3 linked regions of the Saccharomyces cerevisiae S288C genome follow. The gene in region 1 interacts genetically with each later gene. Each region holds a gene or a part of one and is shown in the gene's direction. Other genes may lie near its edges.

Region 1 (7,348 bases):
CATCTAGCAATCTATGATCATAAGTCAAAGCCAAGTACATCATTGGTCTTGAGACAATTTGTCCATTAACAGTGACAGGTCTCTCTTTGACACCATGCAAGCCTAGGACGGCTGTTTGTGGTGAATTGATGATAGGAGTACCGTATAATGAACCAAAAACACCACCATTAGATATGGTGAAAGTACCACCCGTCATATCTTCTAGGGTTAATTTGCCATCACGCGCTTTATGACTCAAGCGAACAATTTCGTTCTCAATATCTAAAACACTCAATGACTCTGCATTACGAACGACGGGGGTAACCAAACCCTTTGGAGTGGCCACAGCAACAGAAATATCTGTGTAATCACGATAAACAATCTGGTCACCTTCAATGGCACCATTGACGGCTGGAATATCCTTGGCGGCCAAGGTACATGCTTTGGAGAAAAGACCCATGAATCCGAATTTAGTACCGGTCTTCTTAATAATCTCATCTTTATACAGTTTCCTCATTTCCATCAAAGCTGACATGTCAACTTCGTTGAATGTGGTTAAGGAAGCAGCAGTGTTTTGAGACTCTTTTAATCTTTCGGCAATCCTCAATCTCATACGGTTCATTTTGACCCTGGTTTCTGTACGTGGAAATGGTGTGAAAGAGTTAGAGGCTACTGGGGGTTCCTGCGCCTTAGAGACGGTCTTCTTTGGTTGATCAGCCTTTTTTGGTTCTGTAACTTCTTTCTTTGGAGCGGCTTCTTTCTTTGGAGCAGCTTCTTTCTTTGAAGCCGTTTCCTCACTTGAGTTTTCCCTTGCGGCGACACCTTGCGATGGCTCCGCTTGTTCGGTAGGCTCTGGCTTAGATTCTCCAGAACCCTCAGCAGGTGCTTCACCAGGCTCGACCTGAGCTAACTCCTCACCAACAGTGACAGTGTCCTCTGGTTTGAAATTTAGCTTCGTAACAGTACCTGATACTGGCGAATTGACCTCAATATCAATTTTATCGGTCTCAATAGTGGCCAACAGCTCGTCCTCCTTAATAAAATCACCAACGTTTTTAGTATATTCCTTTAAAGAGCCTTCAGTCAGGGACTCTGCCATCGGAGGAACTTCAATAGAGGTAGATTTAAAACGATTGCTAGTTATGGAGAACGGATTCGCCGCAACTGAAATTTTCTTGCCGGATAAATATATTGAACCTAAGGATTCGACCTTGTTAGCTTGTTTGAACAAACTTGTAGAAGCATGTCTCTTGACGAAAGAAGCAGCCATAACATTTCTAGCCACTTTAGATTTTACTAAGGATTTGGCAGCTGCAGTACGCGTCGCTCTGGAAAGCATTGTTTAAATAATTATCTGAAGTTGTGTCTTTGGTTGTAACAAATGTGGTAGTGAAGTTTATAACAATATATCTATTCACTGATATATACCGTTAAAGATAGCTGCCTAATTTTTTATTTCGGATTTTTCTTTTTTTTACGTTAGATATTTCCTCCCCTGAAGCTCAAAAAGAGATTATATATGAAAAGTAGGCCTAGTTGAGGGAAAAAGGATTTGCATTTGCTGATAGACCAAGTGTGGATCCGAGCCCTGTAGTAGAATGGTGCTAATGTAGAATAAGAATAAGCTTTAGGAACCATAGATTCCTGCGTAATTTGTGGCCGCTTTATTGGCTCACTCCGGGCAGGACCTTAGTTTTGATTGGCTGCAAAAAAAGGGTTGTTAATATCGTCTTTGACGGAGATGCGGGTGGCTGGAATTGTTTTGTTTATTATTCCCCAAGAGAGAAGAGACAAGAAGTAGTAATGACGATGGAACAAAGATCGGTTCTAATAGGACCACAGGGTTGAATAGAGACGAGTAAAGACGCAACGGTCAAGGCTTTCCACGAGACGTTCGAATATGTCCCACAACAACAGGCATAAAAAGAATAACGATAAAGACAGCTCAGCAGGGCAGTATGCAAATAGCATTGACAATTCATTAAGCCAGGAAAGCGTCTCAACGAACGGCGTAACAAGGATGGCTAACTTAAAGGCTGATGAATGCGGCAGTGGTGATGAAGGAGATAAAACAAAGCGGTTTTCGATTTCAAGTATTTTGAGTAAAAGAGAGACAAAAGACGTGCTTCCGGAATTTGCAGGCAGTAGTTCCCACAATGGAGTACTCACGGCGAATTCATCAAAGGATATGAACTTTACTTTGGAACTAAGCGAGAATTTGTTGGTTGAGTGTAGGAAATTGCAATCCTCTAATGAAGCTAAAAATGAGCAAATCAAGTCTCTCAAGCAAATTAAAGAGTCATTAAGTGACAAGATTGAGGAGCTCACTAACCAAAAAAAGTCCTTCATGAAAGAGTTGGATTCAACTAAAGATTTAAACTGGGATTTAGAATCTAAATTAACAAACTTGAGCATGGAATGTAGGCAATTAAAAGAATTGAAGAAAAAGACTGAAAAATCTTGGAATGATGAAAAAGAAAGCCTGAAACTTCTGAAAACAGATTTGGAAATTTTAACATTAACAAAAAATGGCATGGAAAATGATCTTAGCTCTCAAAAACTTCATTACGATAAAGAGATTAGTGAATTAAAGGAAAGGATTTTAGACTTAAATAATGAAAACGACAGATTACTTATTAGTGTTTCTGATCTAACAAGTGAAATTAATTCCTTACAGAGCAATAGAACTGAAAGAATAAAAATTCAAAAGCAACTTGATGACGCCAAAGCATCTATTTCTTCGTTAAAAAGAAAAGTACAAAAGAAGTATTATCAAAAACAGCATACTTCCGATACTACAGTAACATCTGATCCTGATTCTGAGGGGACCACTAGTGAAGAAGACATTTTTGATATAGTGATCGAAATTGACCACATGATTGAAACAGGCCCCTCTGTCGAGGACATTTCTGAAGATCTTGTCAAGAAATACTCAGAAAAAAACAATATGATATTGTTATCGAATGATTCATATAAAAACTTACTACAAAAAAGTGAAAGTGCATCCAAACCAAAAGACGATGAATTAATGACCAAAGAGGTGGCTGAAAACCTGAATATGATCGCGTTACCAAATGATGACAATTACAGCAAAAAAGAGTTTTCGTTAGAATCTCATATTAAATATTTAGAAGCTTCTGGCTATAAAGTTCTTCCTCTAGAGGAGTTTGAGAACCTAAACGAATCCCTATCAAATCCATCATATAACTATCTCAAGGAAAAACTTCAGGCTTTGAAAAAGATACCCATCGATCAAAGTACGTTTAACTTGTTAAAAGAGCCTACTATTGATTTTTTACTGCCTTTAACATCCAAAATTGATTGCCTGATAATACCTACCAAAGATTATAATGACCTTTTTGAGAGTGTCAAGAATCCATCAATTGAACAAATGAAAAAATGCCTGGAAGCAAAGAACGACTTACAATCGAATATTTGTAAATGGCTGGAGGAGAGAAACGGCTGTAAATGGCTAAGTAATGATCTGTATTTTTCAATGGTTAATAAGATAGAAACACCTTCGAAACAATACCTGTCAGATAAGGCAAAAGAATACGACCAAGTGCTGATTGATACTAAAGCCTTAGAAGGTTTAAAGAACCCAACGATAGACTTTCTAAGAGAAAAAGCTTCTGCATCAGATTATTTATTACTCAAAAAAGAAGACTACGTGAGCCCATCACTGGAATACCTAGTTGAACATGCCAAGGCCACCAATCACCATTTACTATCGGATAGTGCATACGAAGACCTAGTCAAGTGCAAGGAGAATCCTGATATGGAATTCTTGAAGGAGAAGTCTGCCAAACTAGGCCACACTGTGGTATCCAACGAGGCATATTCTGAATTGGAAAAGAAACTAGAACAACCATCACTGGAATACCTAGTTGAACATGCCAAGGCGACCAATCACCATTTACTATCGGATAGTGCATACGAAGACCTAGTCAAGTGCAAGGAGAATCCTGATATGGAATTCTTGAAGGAGAAGTCTGCCAAACTAGGCCATACTGTGGTATCCAACGAGGCATATTCTGAATTGCAACGCAAATACTCAGAATTGGAGAAGGAAGTAGAACAACCATCTCTAGCATACTTAGTTGAACACGCCAAGGCTACCGATCACCATTTACTATCGGATAGTGCATACGAAGACCTAGTCAAGTGCAAGGAGAATCCTGATGTGGAATTCTTGAAGGAGAAGTCTGCTAAACTAGGCCATACTGTGGTATCTAGCGAGGAATATTCTGAATTGCAACGCAAATACTCAGAATTGGAGAAGGAAGTAGAACAACCATCACTAGCATACCTAGTCGAACACGCCAAGGCTACCGATCACCATTTACTATCGGATAGTGCATACGAAGAACTAGTCAAGTGCAAGGAGAATCCTGATATGGAATTCTTGAAGGAGAAGTCTGCCAAACTAGGCCACACTGTGGTATCCAACGAGGCATATTCTGAATTGGAAAAGAAACTAGAACAACCATCACTAGCATACCTAGTCGAACATGCCAAGGCTACCGATCACCATCTGCTATCGGATAGTGCATACGAAGACCTAGTCAAGTGCAAGGAAAATTCTGATGTAGAATTCTTGAAGGAGAAGTCTGCTAAACTAGGCCATACTGTGGTATCCAACGAAGCATATTCTGAATTGGAAAAGAAACTAGAACAACCATCACTAGCATACCTAGTCGAACATGCCAAGGCTACCGATCACCATCTGCTATCGGATAGTGCATACGAAGACCTAGTCAAGTGCAAGGAGAATCCTGATATGGAATTCTTGAAGGAGAAGTCTGCCAAACTAGGCCACACTGTGGTATCCAACGAGGCATATTCTGAATTGGAAAAGAAACTAGAACAACCATCACTGGAATACCTAGTTGAACATGCCAAGGCCACCAATCACCATTTACTATCGGATAGTGCATACGAAGACCTAGTCAAGTGCAAGGAGAATCCTGATATGGAATTCTTGAAGGAGAAGTCTGCCAAACTAGGCCACACTGTGGTATCCAACGAGGCATATTCTGAATTGGAAAAGAAACTAGAACAACCATCACTGGAATACCTAGTTGAACATGCCAAGGCCACCAATCACCATCTGCTATCGGATAGTGCATACGAAGAACTAGTCAAGTGCAAGGAAAATCCTGATGTAGAATTCTTGAAGGAGAAGTCTGCTAAACTAGGCCATACTGTGGTATCCAACGAAGCATATTCTGAATTGGAAAAGAAACTAGAACAACCATCACTGGAATACCTAGTTGAACATGCCAAGGCCACCAATCACCATCTGCTATCGGATAGTGCATACGAAGAACTAGTCAAGTGCAAGGAAAATCCTGATGTAGAATTCTTGAAGGAGAAGTCTGCTAAACTAGGCCATACTGTGGTATCCAACGAAGCATATTCTGAATTGGAAAAGAAACTAGAACAACCATCACTAGCATACCTAGTCGAACATGCCAAGGCTACCGATCACCATCTGCTATCGGATAGTGCATACGAAGACCTAGTCAAGTGCAAGGAAAATCCTGATGTAGAATTCTTGAAGGAGAAGTCTGCTAAACTAGGCCATACTGTGGTATCCAACGAAGCATATTCTGAATTGGAAAAGAAACTAGAACAACCATCACTAGCATACCTAGTCGAACATGCCAAGGCTACCGATCACCATCTGCTATCGGATAGTGCATACGAAGACCTAGTCAAGTGCAAGGAGAATCCTGATATGGAATTCTTGAAGGAGAAGTCTGCCAAACTAGGCCACACTGTGGTATCCAACGAGGCATATTCTGAATTGGAAAAGAAACTAGAACAACCATCACTGGAATACCTAGTTGAACATGCCAAGGCCACCAATCACCATCTGCTATCGGATAGTGCATACGAAGACCTAGTCAAGTGCAAGGAGAATCCTGATATGGAATTCTTGAAGGAGAAGTCTGCTAAACTGGGCCATACTGTGGTATCCAACAAGGAATATTCTGAATTGGAAAAGAAACTAGAACAACCATCACTGGAATACTTAGTCAAACATGCCGAACAAATACAATCAAAAATTATATCGATCTCGGACTTCAACACCTTAGCTAATCCATCTATGGAAGATATGGCTTCAAAATTGCAAAAGTTAGAATACCAGATTGTTTCGAACGATGAGTACATTGCATTGAAAAATACGATGGAAAAGCCGGACGTTGAGTTACTAAGATCCAAGTTGAAAGGTTACCATATAATTGATACAACAACGTACAATGAGCTAGTCAGCAATTTCAATTCTCCTACGTTGAAGTTTATTGAAGAGAAAGCCAAAAGCAAAGGTTATAGATTAATAGAACCTAATGAATACCTTGACTTGAATAGGATAGCCACTACACCTTCTAAAGAAGAGATTGATAACTTCTGCAAACAAATTGGGTGTTACGCTTTGGACTCTAAAGAATATGAAAGACTAAAAAATTCTCTGGAGAATCCCTCCAAGAAATTTATAGAAGAAAATGCCGCATTACTTGATCTTGTGCTAGTGGACAAAACGGAGTACCAAGCAATGAAAGATAATGCAAGCAACAAGAAATCACTTATTCCTTCAACCAAGGCACTTGATTTCGTTACAATGCCTGCCCCACAGCTTGCTTCTGCAGAGAAGTCATCACTACAAAAAAGAACTTTATCTGATATTGAAAATGAGTTAAAGGCCTTAGGCTACGTCGCAATTCGTAAAGAAAACCTGCCAAACCTAGAGAAACCAATTGTTGACAATGCCTCCAAAAATGATGTCTTGAACCTATGTTCGAAATTCAGTTTAGTACCATTGTCTACTGAAGAATATGATAATATGAGAAAGGAACACACTAAAATCTTAAATATTCTCGGTGATCCATCTATTGATTTCCTGAAGGAAAAATGTGAAAAATATCAAATGCTCATAATTAGTAAACATGATTACGAAGAAAAGCAAGAAGCCATTGAAAATCCAGGCTACGAATTTATTTTAGAAAAAGCATCAGCACTGGGATATGAATTAGTTAGCGAGGTTGAGCTGGATCGCATGAAACAAATGATTGATTCACCAGATATTGACTACATGCAAGAAAAGGCTGCCCGCAATGAAATGGTGTTGTTGAGGAACGAGGAGAAGGAAGCATTGCAAAAGAAAATAGAATATCCCTCTTTAACATTTTTAATCGAAAAGGCTGCTGGAATGAACAAAATACTTGTTGACCAAATCGAGTATGATGAAACTATAAGAAAATGCAATCATCCCACTCGGATGGAGCTAGAGGAATCCTGTCATCACTTGAACTTGGTTTTGCTCGACCAAAACGAGTACTCAACTCTAAGAGAACCTTTGGAAAAT
Region 2 (5,719 bases), on another chromosome or scaffold:
TAATTTTGGTAGATTTATATTATTGAGGATACTAAGTGAGCGTGTTGTTGCACGCCTAAGGGCAAATGTCATTAAAAAAACGCTTCATCAAGACGCAGAATTCTTCGACAACCATAAAGTTGGGGATTTAATTTCTCGTTTAGGATCTGATGCTTATGTTGTTTCAAGATCAATGACCCAGAAGGTCTCGGATGGGGTCAAAGCCCTAATTTGTGGGGTTGTTGGCGTGGGGATGATGTGTTCTTTGTCACCTCAACTATCAATATTGTTACTATTCTTCACTCCACCTGTTCTTTTTAGTGCCTCAGTGTTCGGGAAGCAAATTAGAAACACCTCTAAAGACCTTCAAGAAGCTACTGGTCAATTGACTAGAGTCGCTGAAGAACAACTCTCTGGTATCAAGACGGTTCAGTCGTTTGTTGCTGAAGGTAATGAATTGTCTAGGTATAACGTTGCAATTAGAGATATTTTTCAGGTGGGAAAAACTGCGGCATTTACAAACGCAAAGTTTTTTACTACAACTAGTCTCTTAGGTGACCTAAGTTTTTTAACCGTCCTTGCGTATGGCTCCTATCTTGTTTTACAATCACAGCTCTCCATTGGTGATCTGACTGCATTTATGCTGTACACAGAATATACGGGGAATGCGGTATTCGGCCTTTCTACCTTCTATTCGGAAATTATGCAGGGTGCTGGGGCCGCTTCCAGGTTGTTTGAATTAACAGATAGGAAACCTTCCATTTCACCGACTGTGGGACACAAGTATAAACCAGATCGTGGTGTTATCGAATTTAAAGATGTTTCATTTAGCTACCCTACAAGGCCTTCTGTTCAAATATTCAAGAATTTAAATTTTAAAATTGCGCCAGGATCGAGTGTTTGTATTGTGGGCCCTTCAGGTCGTGGTAAATCTACAATTGCACTCTTACTGCTAAGATATTATAATCCCACTACTGGGACTATTACGATAGATAACCAAGATATCTCTAAATTGAATTGTAAATCCCTAAGAAGGCATATTGGTATCGTTCAGCAAGAGCCGGTACTGATGTCAGGTACTATTAGGGATAATATCACTTATGGGTTGACATATACCCCAACAAAGGAAGAAATCAGGTCAGTAGCAAAGCAGTGCTTTTGCCATAACTTTATCACAAAATTTCCGAACACATACGATACGGTAATTGGTCCTCACGGCACCTTACTAAGTGGAGGACAAAAGCAGCGTATTGCGATTGCAAGGGCTCTAATCAAAAAGCCAACTATTTTGATTCTTGATGAAGCTACATCAGCTTTAGATGTTGAAAGTGAAGGAGCCATTAACTATACGTTTGGTCAACTAATGAAATCAAAATCGATGACTATTGTTAGCATCGCGCACAGGCTAAGTACGATCAGAAGATCAGAGAATGTTATTGTCCTTGGCCATGATGGATCAGTGGTAGAAATGGGCAAATTCAAAGAATTGTATGCGAATCCAACAAGTGCTTTATCGCAATTACTTAATGAGAAAGCGGCTCCTGGGCCATCTGACCAACAACTGCAAATAGAGAAGGTCATCGAAAAGGAAGATTTGAATGAGAGTAAGGAGCATGATGACCAGAAAAAGGACGATAATGACGATAATGATAATAATCATGATAACGACAGCAATAACCAGTCTCCAGAGACGAAAGACAATAATTCAGATGATATTGAAAAATCTGTCGAACATCTCCTGAAAGACGCGGCAAAGGAGGCTAATCCAATTAAGATCACACCACAACCGTGAGTCATCCGCATCGCATATACCCATTCTTATCTCGCACATTTAAATATATACTATATATAATACTGTTAAATGCCAAATAAAAAGGATTTTCATTACCCGAATCGATACTTTTGGTAGCATAAACAAATAACATTGAAACAATAACAAAGTGTAATGTGGCCGCACGAATCTTTGTCTGTAACAGCCTTAAAGATTTCAGTAGCACTGCCATGGATAATGATGGACCCAGATCTATGACCATTGGGGATGACTTCCAAGAGAACTTTTGTGAACGTTTAGAAAGAATTCACAATACATTACATTCAATAAACGATTGCAACTCATTGAATGAGAGTACCACAAGTATATCAGAGACATTGTTAGTTCAATTTTATGATGATTTGGAGAACGTTGCCTCGGTAATTCCCGACTTAGTCAACAAGAAAAGACTGGGAAAAGACGATATTTTGTTGTTTATGGACTGGTTATTATTGAAAAAATATATGCTATATCAATTTATTAGTGACGTTCATAATATTGAGGAAGGTTTTGCTCATTTGTTGGATTTACTAGAGGATGAATTCTCGAAGGACGATCAGGATAGCGACAAATACAATCGATTTAGCCCGATGTTTGACGTCATAGAAGAATCTACACAAATTAAGACTCAGTTGGAGCCATGGCTTACTAACTTGAAGGAATTATTGGATACGTCATTGGAATTTAACGAAATTTCAAAGGATCATATGGATACATTACATAAAATCATTAATAGCAATATATCGTATTGTCTGGAAATTCAGGAAGAAAGGTTCGCGTCCCCGATACGGCATACTCCATCATTTACCCTAGAACAACTAGTCAAGTTATTAGGAACGCATACGGAGACAACTGAGCCAAAGGTACCAAAATTTTCTCCGGCAGAAGATATTTTATCAAGAAAGTTCTTGAACCTAAAAAAAAATATCCCTCCAATTGAAAAAAGTTTGACTGATATCCTACCTCAAAGAATTGTGCAATTTGGGCACCGGAATATAACAAACATAACTACTTTGCAAACAATCTTGCAAAAAAAATACGAGCTGATAATGAAAGATTATAGATTTATGAATTCAGAGTTTAGGGAATTGAAAGTCGAACTAATCGACAAACGTTGGAATATACTCTTTATTAATTTAAATCATGAACTATTATACATTCTTGATGAGATAGAAAGGTTGCAGTCGAAATTACTGACAACAAAGTATACCAAAGATATCACTATAAGGCTCGAGAGGCAATTGGAGAGAAAATCAAAAACTGTTTCTAAGACATTCAATATTATTTACAGAGCATTGGAATTCTCACTTTTGGACGCTGGCGTCGCATCGAAGACAAATGAATTAGCTCAAAGATGGCTGAATATCAAGCCTACAGCGGATAAAATTCTAATCAAATCCTCCGCTTCAAACAAAATAGCTACTAGCAAGAAGAAGATTCCAAAACCGAAATCATTAGGCTTTGGGCGACCGAATAGTGTTATTGGAACTATAACCCAGGATTTCCAGGAGAGAGTCGCCATTAATGAAGGTGACAGTAATAAAACACCGGAAAATTCAACTACAGTGGCTTTGAAAGGTAAAAAGCTTGGTAAAGCGTTACTGCAGAAGATGAATATTAAACCTGCAACAAGCCCAAATTCATCAAATGCGATTAATCCATTTTTTGATCCGGAGTCGCCAAACAAAGGAAAACTGATACTAAGTAGTGTTCCTCCCTTACCTTATGACGAAACCGATGAAACCACCCTCCGTGTTTCTCGTGGGGAAAATGAAAAGTCACCAGACTCCTTCATTACATCTCGGCATGAAAATAAAGTACAGATTACAGAAACTCCTTTGATGGCAAAGAATAAGTCTGTGCTTGACATCGAAAAAGATAAATGGAATCATTACCGGTCCTTGCCCTCTAGGATCCCTATATACAAGGATAAAGTGGTGAAAGTCACCGTAGAAAACACACCGATAGCAAAGGTTTTCCAGACTCCGCCAACAAAAATCACGACACCTAATAGTCAAGTTTGGGTCCCTTCGACAAGAAGAAGAACCCGATTGAGGCCTCCCACCCCCTTATCACAGTTACTTTCACCAAGAGAAGGGCGTTTAGATAAAACCCCAACTTATTGATACTAACCTAAAACTGTATACTTATACATTTTTATATATCCTCCCTCTCACCCTCTCCATTCATAGAATTTGTAATACTAGTTTAAATAATGTAATATTATGTGTAATTTTAAATAGTCCATGAAGATTCCGCACGTTTTCATTTTACAGTTTTTGACACCTTTACCCGACGCTTTATAAAAAAAATAGTATAAGCATCACGACATAAGCAGCCTCAGGTCATTAAAACAATAAAAGACTGGGAATTATAAACGTACAACGGTAAGGTCATTCACGCAGTGTATATGAATGACTGAAAGTGCTATAGATGACCAAAGGTTTAATCTTACAAAGGAGTTACAACGACACTCATGCAGAGATCAAGGGAAAATAACACAAAAGGATGATGCTTTAGATTTTATAAGTTACAGTTCTTTTCAATCCTCTTTTAATACTGACCAAAAAAGCGCGAACAATGGAAGTACTGTGAGAAGAAGCATAAGGTCGATTTTTAGAAGAGCAGCCGAATTGCCTAGAGTCCATATGGGGCCTCTTACTTATTCACATGGGATAAATGAGCTTGTTAACAAGAAATTAAGAAAAGACTGTGATCTCAGCACGCTATGTCGCGTATTGCAAAGAGGAATCAGGATGATTAGGATGACAAGAAGAAGAAGGAAGTTCTATGAATTTAAATTAATCAATAACAACGGGCAAATAATATGGAAAGATGGTTCGAAGTATCTGGAATTAGACTCCGTTAAAGACATCAGAATCGGTGATACGGCGAGTACTTATCAAGAGGAAGTAGATCCGAAAAGATTGAGATCGGACAGTAAACTTTGGATTGCTATTATTTATAAGGTTTCCAACAAATTGAAAGCGTTACACGTAGTTGCTTTGAATGAATTGGACTTTAACACATTCTTAAGCTGCATTTGCGGTTTAGTGAAGTTAAGGAGGGAATTAATGGAAAGCATACTTTTGCCTGATAATTCGCAATTCGCTAGGATACATTGGCAAATTACTGTTTCTGAAAAAGAGGAAGATGAGAAAAAGGACACATTGAGCTTTGCAGATGTGAAGAAACTATGTGATAAATTTCATATTTATGTGTCAACTGGTCAATTGTTAGAGTTTTTCCAATTAGCAGACATCAATCATAACGGACTATTAAATTATTTTGAATTTGAAAAGTTCATTAAAATCTTAAAGAATAGGAAAGAGGTAAATATGATTTGGTCTAAATTTACAAAACCTCCACACTCCCACTTATCATTTGAAAATTTTTTTCAATTTTTAATTACAGAGCAGCATGAGCAAGTGGATCGTCAAACTGCATGGTCATATTTTATTAAGTACAGAGAACCGACTCAGCTGACGATGGGGCAAGATGGTTTTACCAAGTTCTTGAAGGAGCAACCATATTTGGTGGAGGTTAAAGAGGAGTTATATTCAAAGCCATTAAACCATTATTTTATTGCATCTTCACATAATACTTATTTATTGGGGAAACAAATTGCAGAAACTCCATCTGTGGAGGGATATATTCAAGTCCTACAACAAGGTTGTAGGTGCGTAGAAATTGATATATGGGATGGTGAAAATGGGCCAGTGGTATGCCATGGATTTTTAACGTCAGCTATTCCCTTAAAAACAGTTATACGCGTGATAAAGAAGTACGCTTTTATAACGTCTCCGTATCCTTTGATTATTTCACTGGAAATAAACTGTAACAAGGATAATCAAAAATTGGCAAGCCTGATAATGAGAGAGGTTTTAGCAGAACAGCTGTACTTTGTTGGCACAAGAACTGATAAACTGC
Region 3 (5,453 bases), on another chromosome or scaffold:
TGAAGTTAAGGGACCAAATTCTGCCTTGACTCAATTTTTAAGAGAAGAAGGGATCAGTGCTGAAAATATCAAACAAAAATGGTACCAGCGACAGTCGAAGAAGCAAGAAGATGCAACAGACGAAAAAAAAGGTAAAGCGGAGGATGATAGCTTTACTGCCGAGATATCTCGAGTAGTTGAAGATGAAGAAATTGATGAAATTGGAACAGGTAGTGGTACCGAGACAGAAAGAGCTCAGGTTTCCTACGATGCCAGGATGAAATTAGTCCCTGCTGATAGTGATGAAGAAGAATATGAAACTAGCCACATTTCTGACACGCCAGTCAGTTTAAGTTCGGCTAATGACCGGGAATCATTGACTAAAAAAAGGCAAAATACTGCAAAAATTATCCAAAATCGTCGCAGAAAGCGTAAAAGAGCAGCTGACCTATTGGATAGACGCGTCAACAAAGTATCCAGCTTACAAAGTCTTTGTATTACGAAAATTAGTGAAAATATATCCAAGTGGCAAAAAGAGGCTGATGAATCATCAAAGTTGGTATTTAACAAATTGAGAGATGTCCTTGGTGGCGTATCAACCGCTAATTTGAATAATTTGGCAAAAGCACTATCGAAGAATAGGGCCCTGAATGATCATACTCTGCAACTTTTCTTGAAGACAGATCTAAAAAGGTTAACTTTCAGCGATTGTTCTAAAATTTCATTTGATGGTTACAAAACGCTAGCCATTTTTTCGCCACACCTAACCGAATTATCCCTACAAATGTGTGGGCAGTTGAACCATGAATCATTGCTTTACATTGCTGAAAAGCTTCCGAACTTGAAATCACTGAATTTAGATGGACCATTTCTGATCAACGAGGACACATGGGAGAAGTTCTTTGTAATAATGAAAGGTAGATTAGAAGAGTTCCACATTTCTAATACGCACCGCTTCACCGACAAATCATTATCTAATTTATTGATCAACTGCGGTTCTACCTTGGTATCCTTAGGGTTATCCAGACTAGATTCTATATCAAATTACGCTTTATTACCGCAGTACCTAGTCAACGACGAATTTCACAGTCTCTGTATTGAATATCCATTCAATGAAGAGGATGTTAACGATGAGATCATCATAAATCTGCTAGGTCAAATCGGGCGCACGTTACGTAAATTGGTTTTGAATGGCTGTATTGACTTGACAGATTCAATGATAATCAATGGTCTGACTGCATTCATTCCTGAGAAATGTCCATTGGAGGTATTGAGCTTGGAAGAATCAGATCAGATCACTACAGATTCACTGTCGTACTTTTTCAGCAAAGTAGAACTGAATAATTTGATTGAATGCAGCTTTAGAAGATGTCTACAATTGGGCGATATGGCAATTATAGAGCTATTGCTTAACGGAGCAAGAGATAGTCTGAGAAGCTTAAATCTCAATTCATTAAAAGAGCTAACTAAGGAGGCATTTGTGGCGTTAGCCTGTCCTAATCTGACGTATCTTGATCTTGGTTTTGTACGTTGTGTTGATGACTCGGTGATTCAAATGTTGGGTGAGCAAAATCCGAATTTAACTGTAATTGATGTTTTCGGAGACAATTTGGTTACTGAAAAGGCCACAATGAGGCCTGGACTTACGTTGATAGGGAGACAGAGTGACAGTATATAATAAAATAAAGACATATAAAACGTGTATTAGATAGAAAACGGAAAATTGACTAATGTTTTTATTCCTATTATACTCAGATCGTCAAATGTTGCCTTTATTTTCTATTGAAGGGATTTTATGGCATCTCGCGAATAATAAACAAACAATAATAGTAAAAAAAAAAGTGTAAACTTATGTATTCAGCGCAGATAAAAGGAAAAAAACGAGAAGTTTGACGTAAAGAAAAAAGTTCGAAAACTTTTGTAGCAGTTGAAAGTTTTGTATGCTATGTCAATTAGGCCTCTCACGTTAAACGGTTTAGATGAGCCAGAAACCTCTTTTGAAGAACTGAATACAACTCTACCTCGCTTTCAATCCCATGAAACATTAACTTTGGAAGAAAACGTGCCACCATTGAGTACATCAACTTATATACCGCCTCCATCCTCGGTAGGTACTTCTGACACTGGCACGGTATTTTCCAATAGTACCAGCGCGTTTTGGTCTAATAAGCAAGCAGACGATGATCAGGACATGGAGGTAGACCAGGATGATGAATTTCTAAATGACTTCCAGGAATTCCAAAATAAAAAGGATGATTTTGACGATGCTATTAAAACAAATTTTCATTTGAGAAATGGATGTCGAACTGGCCCTTTCAAAAACGACATTTTCGCAGAAGAGTTTGATAGAAAACTGAGTTTGGAAGATAAACCAAGGCTAAAGCAACCTAGATCAATGATGGAATTGAAACCAAAAAGAAAACTATCAAATAGCGTCACTTCAAGAAACTTAAGGTCTGGTAATTCTGTAAGATTTAAGAAATCTATGCCTAACTTAGCTTTAGTTAATCCAGCTATCAGAGAAGAAGAAGAGGACGAAGAACGAGAAAGAGAAGATCAACGAGAGTTTAATTACAAGATTGATAACGATACGCAGGACACAATTTTGGCGAAATTCAGTTCAGATGATGAAGGTGACTTTCTGACAGGATTTGAAGAATTAGAGGGTGAAGCAATTGATGAAACGATTTCTTCGAACGATAAAGAAAGTGCCGACCATCCGCGTTTCTTAAAGAAGTCATCCTCATCTTTGCCATTAAAAATATCACCTGCACAATATGATATAGTAAAGCATGACGAATTATTAACTCCAGGTCTTCATAGGCGACAACGAGATTGGAATACCCAGCAGGAACTGGACTCTTTTAAAGAAAAACGATCAGTAAGACACTGTTCTAATCAAAATGTACAACTCAATGGTCCAGCTAAAATCAAAACAATAAAACAGCAAATTGATCATAATACTCCAATGAAGAAAGGTTCTATGATATATAACCCGAAAACTATGAAGTGGGAAGGAAATGAAAACGTCTTAAGCAAATTTAGTGATGTAGACACGGCAAACAGGAAAGCTTTATTGATAAAAAACAAGCTACAACGAGATGCAGATTCTAAGAAGCAAAAATATTCTGATCTACAGCATGCAAGAGCCACTTCGAGAAATCAAAAGGTCATCGGGAACATGATTTTAGATGAACAAAATTTAAGATGGGTTAGTGTTTCAGAGGAAGAAGCAGACCCTTTTGCAGGCATTCCTGAGATAAACTTACCACCAGTTGGCAAAAGTATGAAAAAACGTAGCTCCTCACCATTTTTGCGTTCCAAAAGCCAAGTTAATACGCCATTTGTTTCAAATGACAATGATGGCGTTTATCAAAGTACGGCTGCTCAAGCAAGACTCCGTAAATACCATTCAATGAGGACACTTAACGGTACAACAGAAACTCCAGAAATAAGCTCTACTTTCCATTTGAGTTCAAGAGCATTGGAAAAATTTTACCACGAGGAGAACAGGTGGTGTAAAAAGTTAGCCTCATGGTTTATACCCCGAGATGAGACCATTATCAGTGTTGATGAGGAAACAATCATGGATGAAAGTACGGTCAATAGCAAGAGAAAATCCTATATGTATGAAATCAGGAACATGGTAATCAATTCGACAAAAGATTAGCCCTTTAGCCTTCTTATAACTGTTTCTTTACCGTTATCTTGAGTACATTCATTTCTCTTACATTCCAAAATTAGATAGAACCTTGAATCGTGTCAACTTTTCGCCGACATTTCGCGTCTGACAGAAAAAGAAATGTTGCAGAAAATTCGAATAGATGTTTCAAATGAAAATAGACCATGAGGGACACATTAACATTTCAAACAAAAGAGCCCTTGATGATTATTAAAACAGATCTTTATGGTTTGTTTAGCAAACACTTTGGTAATTTCATGAATATTTGACTAGCAGGAACAGAAAATCAAAAATGTTTAACCATGATTGGAAGTACTCCATTAATTCTAAGACTTTCGCCGATTTAAACATTGAATTATTTCGAAACCACAAGTTCAAAACTGTTTTAAATTACATAATAGGTGTAGTTGGGTGGAATGGATTAAAACTCGCCCTTTTTGTTTCTGACATTTACACATGTATCAAATTGCTGGCATTCAACTCCTGGTCAAACAACATCATCAAACCATACTTACCCTTTAAAATATCCAAATGGTTGTTTAGCGGTTGTATTTTAGCATCGATTGTGCTATTGATATGGGAGGCTATAGCGGGAATGAGGATTTACAAAACGGGAAATATCTCTTTGACTTATGTCAACAATTTTTCCAGAAACCTAAATTCAGTGCTCAATTATTCCAAGTTTTGTGTTTATAATATGATCGAACGAAAGGGTTTTCGACAGAAAATGACATTTTTTACTTTTTTTCAACTGAAAGATTGTATTAGATTAATCTTCACGGATACCCCAAGGCAAGTTATTAATGGTCTTACGCTGTGGTCAGTTCTCGTAACAGTAAATAAAAACGAGGATCTAGGCGATCTGGAATCATTTACCGGTTTGATCAACAAAATAAAGAACATTGGCCAGACCAATCATGAAGAAGCAGTGATATTGTCGCTGATGCTATTTTCCTTTATAATCTGGGCATTATTTGTCTTCAAGTTTCTGCTTGCTGTCATTTGCTCGATTTTTGTTTATTATAAAATAATCAATGATCAGGAATATAGCGGGTTGCGTGAGTACATTTGTGTTACCGTCAGCGAAAATGTTGATGAACTTGTTGAAAGACAAAGGAAAAAGGAAAATGATGACACGATTTATAAGACAGGTCTTCTCGAATCTCAGACTTTTGACGATTTTAAAGAAGTTGAAAATAAAATTGAAACATCTTTTAATGATACGTCATATGCTTCTAATAATGATTCTATGATTGAGCTAATAGAGAGAAGACCCGAATACAAAAGTCAGGATGTATGTGGGCCCATTCCCACAATGAAGAAAACGGAAACAATGGAATCGTTCGTTGACAATGGCAATCCACAATATACCACTAGATTCTCTGCGATTCTAGATTCACCATATATCAACAGCTATGAAAGTAATGATATAAAGAAAGCAAAAATACAAAGCAGAAGCGTAAATACTCCAAAATATGAGGATTTGTCTTCTTCTGACATTTTCAACAAAATACACTCTGCTGGACAATTAAAATCTACAACTTCTATGGAGTTTCACGGGCCATTAGATTCTATGCCAAATACAACAAACAACATCCGTAATTTTAATAGCAACAGTAGTAGACCTAGACCACCTCCTTTACAGACAAAAAGTTCGATTAATTCAAAAGCTGACTCGAATGATAATGGAAGGATTTATACACCAATGAAAGCGTACTTCAGGGAGCCTGATCTTCCGAGGAAGGGTTTGCTGGAAGATGAAGATCGTACATATAATTATACTTAATAGGCT

What was found. A genetic interaction does not mean that the proteins touch.
Region 2: mutations in NUM1 (region 1) and KAR9 impair growth when combined (synthetic growth defect), as found in Saccharomyces cerevisiae (12 studies listed by BioGRID, with this or other methods).
Region 3: mutations in NUM1 (region 1) and BFA1 together harm fitness more than expected from each alone (negative genetic interaction), as found in Saccharomyces cerevisiae (5 studies listed by BioGRID, with this or other methods).

What each region holds. Positions count from the first base shown.
Region 1 is NC_001136.10:753,749-761,096, forward strand, and holds the start of NUM1 (Num1p), read left to right. Parts: upstream 1-1,879; coding exon 1,880-7,348. Other genes in the region: KGD2 (dihydrolipoyl transsuccinylase), read right to left, coding at 1-1,318. UniProt on the Saccharomyces cerevisiae protein: Controls nuclear migration. NUM1 specifically controls the interaction of the bud neck cytoskeleton with the pre-divisional G2 nucleus. Functions in dynein-anchoring.
Region 2 is NC_001148.4:31,033-36,751, forward strand, and holds KAR9 (Kar9p), read left to right. Parts: upstream 1-1,980; coding exon 1,981-3,915; downstream 3,916-5,719. Other genes in the region: ATP-binding cassette permease MDL2, read left to right, coding at 1-1,771; PLC1 (phosphatidylinositol phospholipase C), read left to right, coding at 4,204-5,719. UniProt on the Saccharomyces cerevisiae protein: Involved in karyogamy. Component of a cortical adaptor complex that orients cytoplasmic microtubules. It may be involved in anchoring cytoplasmic microtubules to the cell cortex.
Region 3 is NC_001142.9:532,103-537,555, forward strand, and holds BFA1 (Bfa1p), read left to right. Parts: upstream 1-1,924; coding exon 1,925-3,649; downstream 3,650-5,453. Other genes in the region: UV-damaged DNA-binding protein RAD7, read left to right, coding at 1-1,657; KCH1 (Kch1p), read left to right, coding at 3,954-5,447. UniProt on the Saccharomyces cerevisiae protein: Part of a checkpoint which monitors spindle integrity and prevents premature exit from mitosis. This cell-cycle arrest depends upon inhibition of the G-protein TEM1 by the BFA1/BUB2 complex.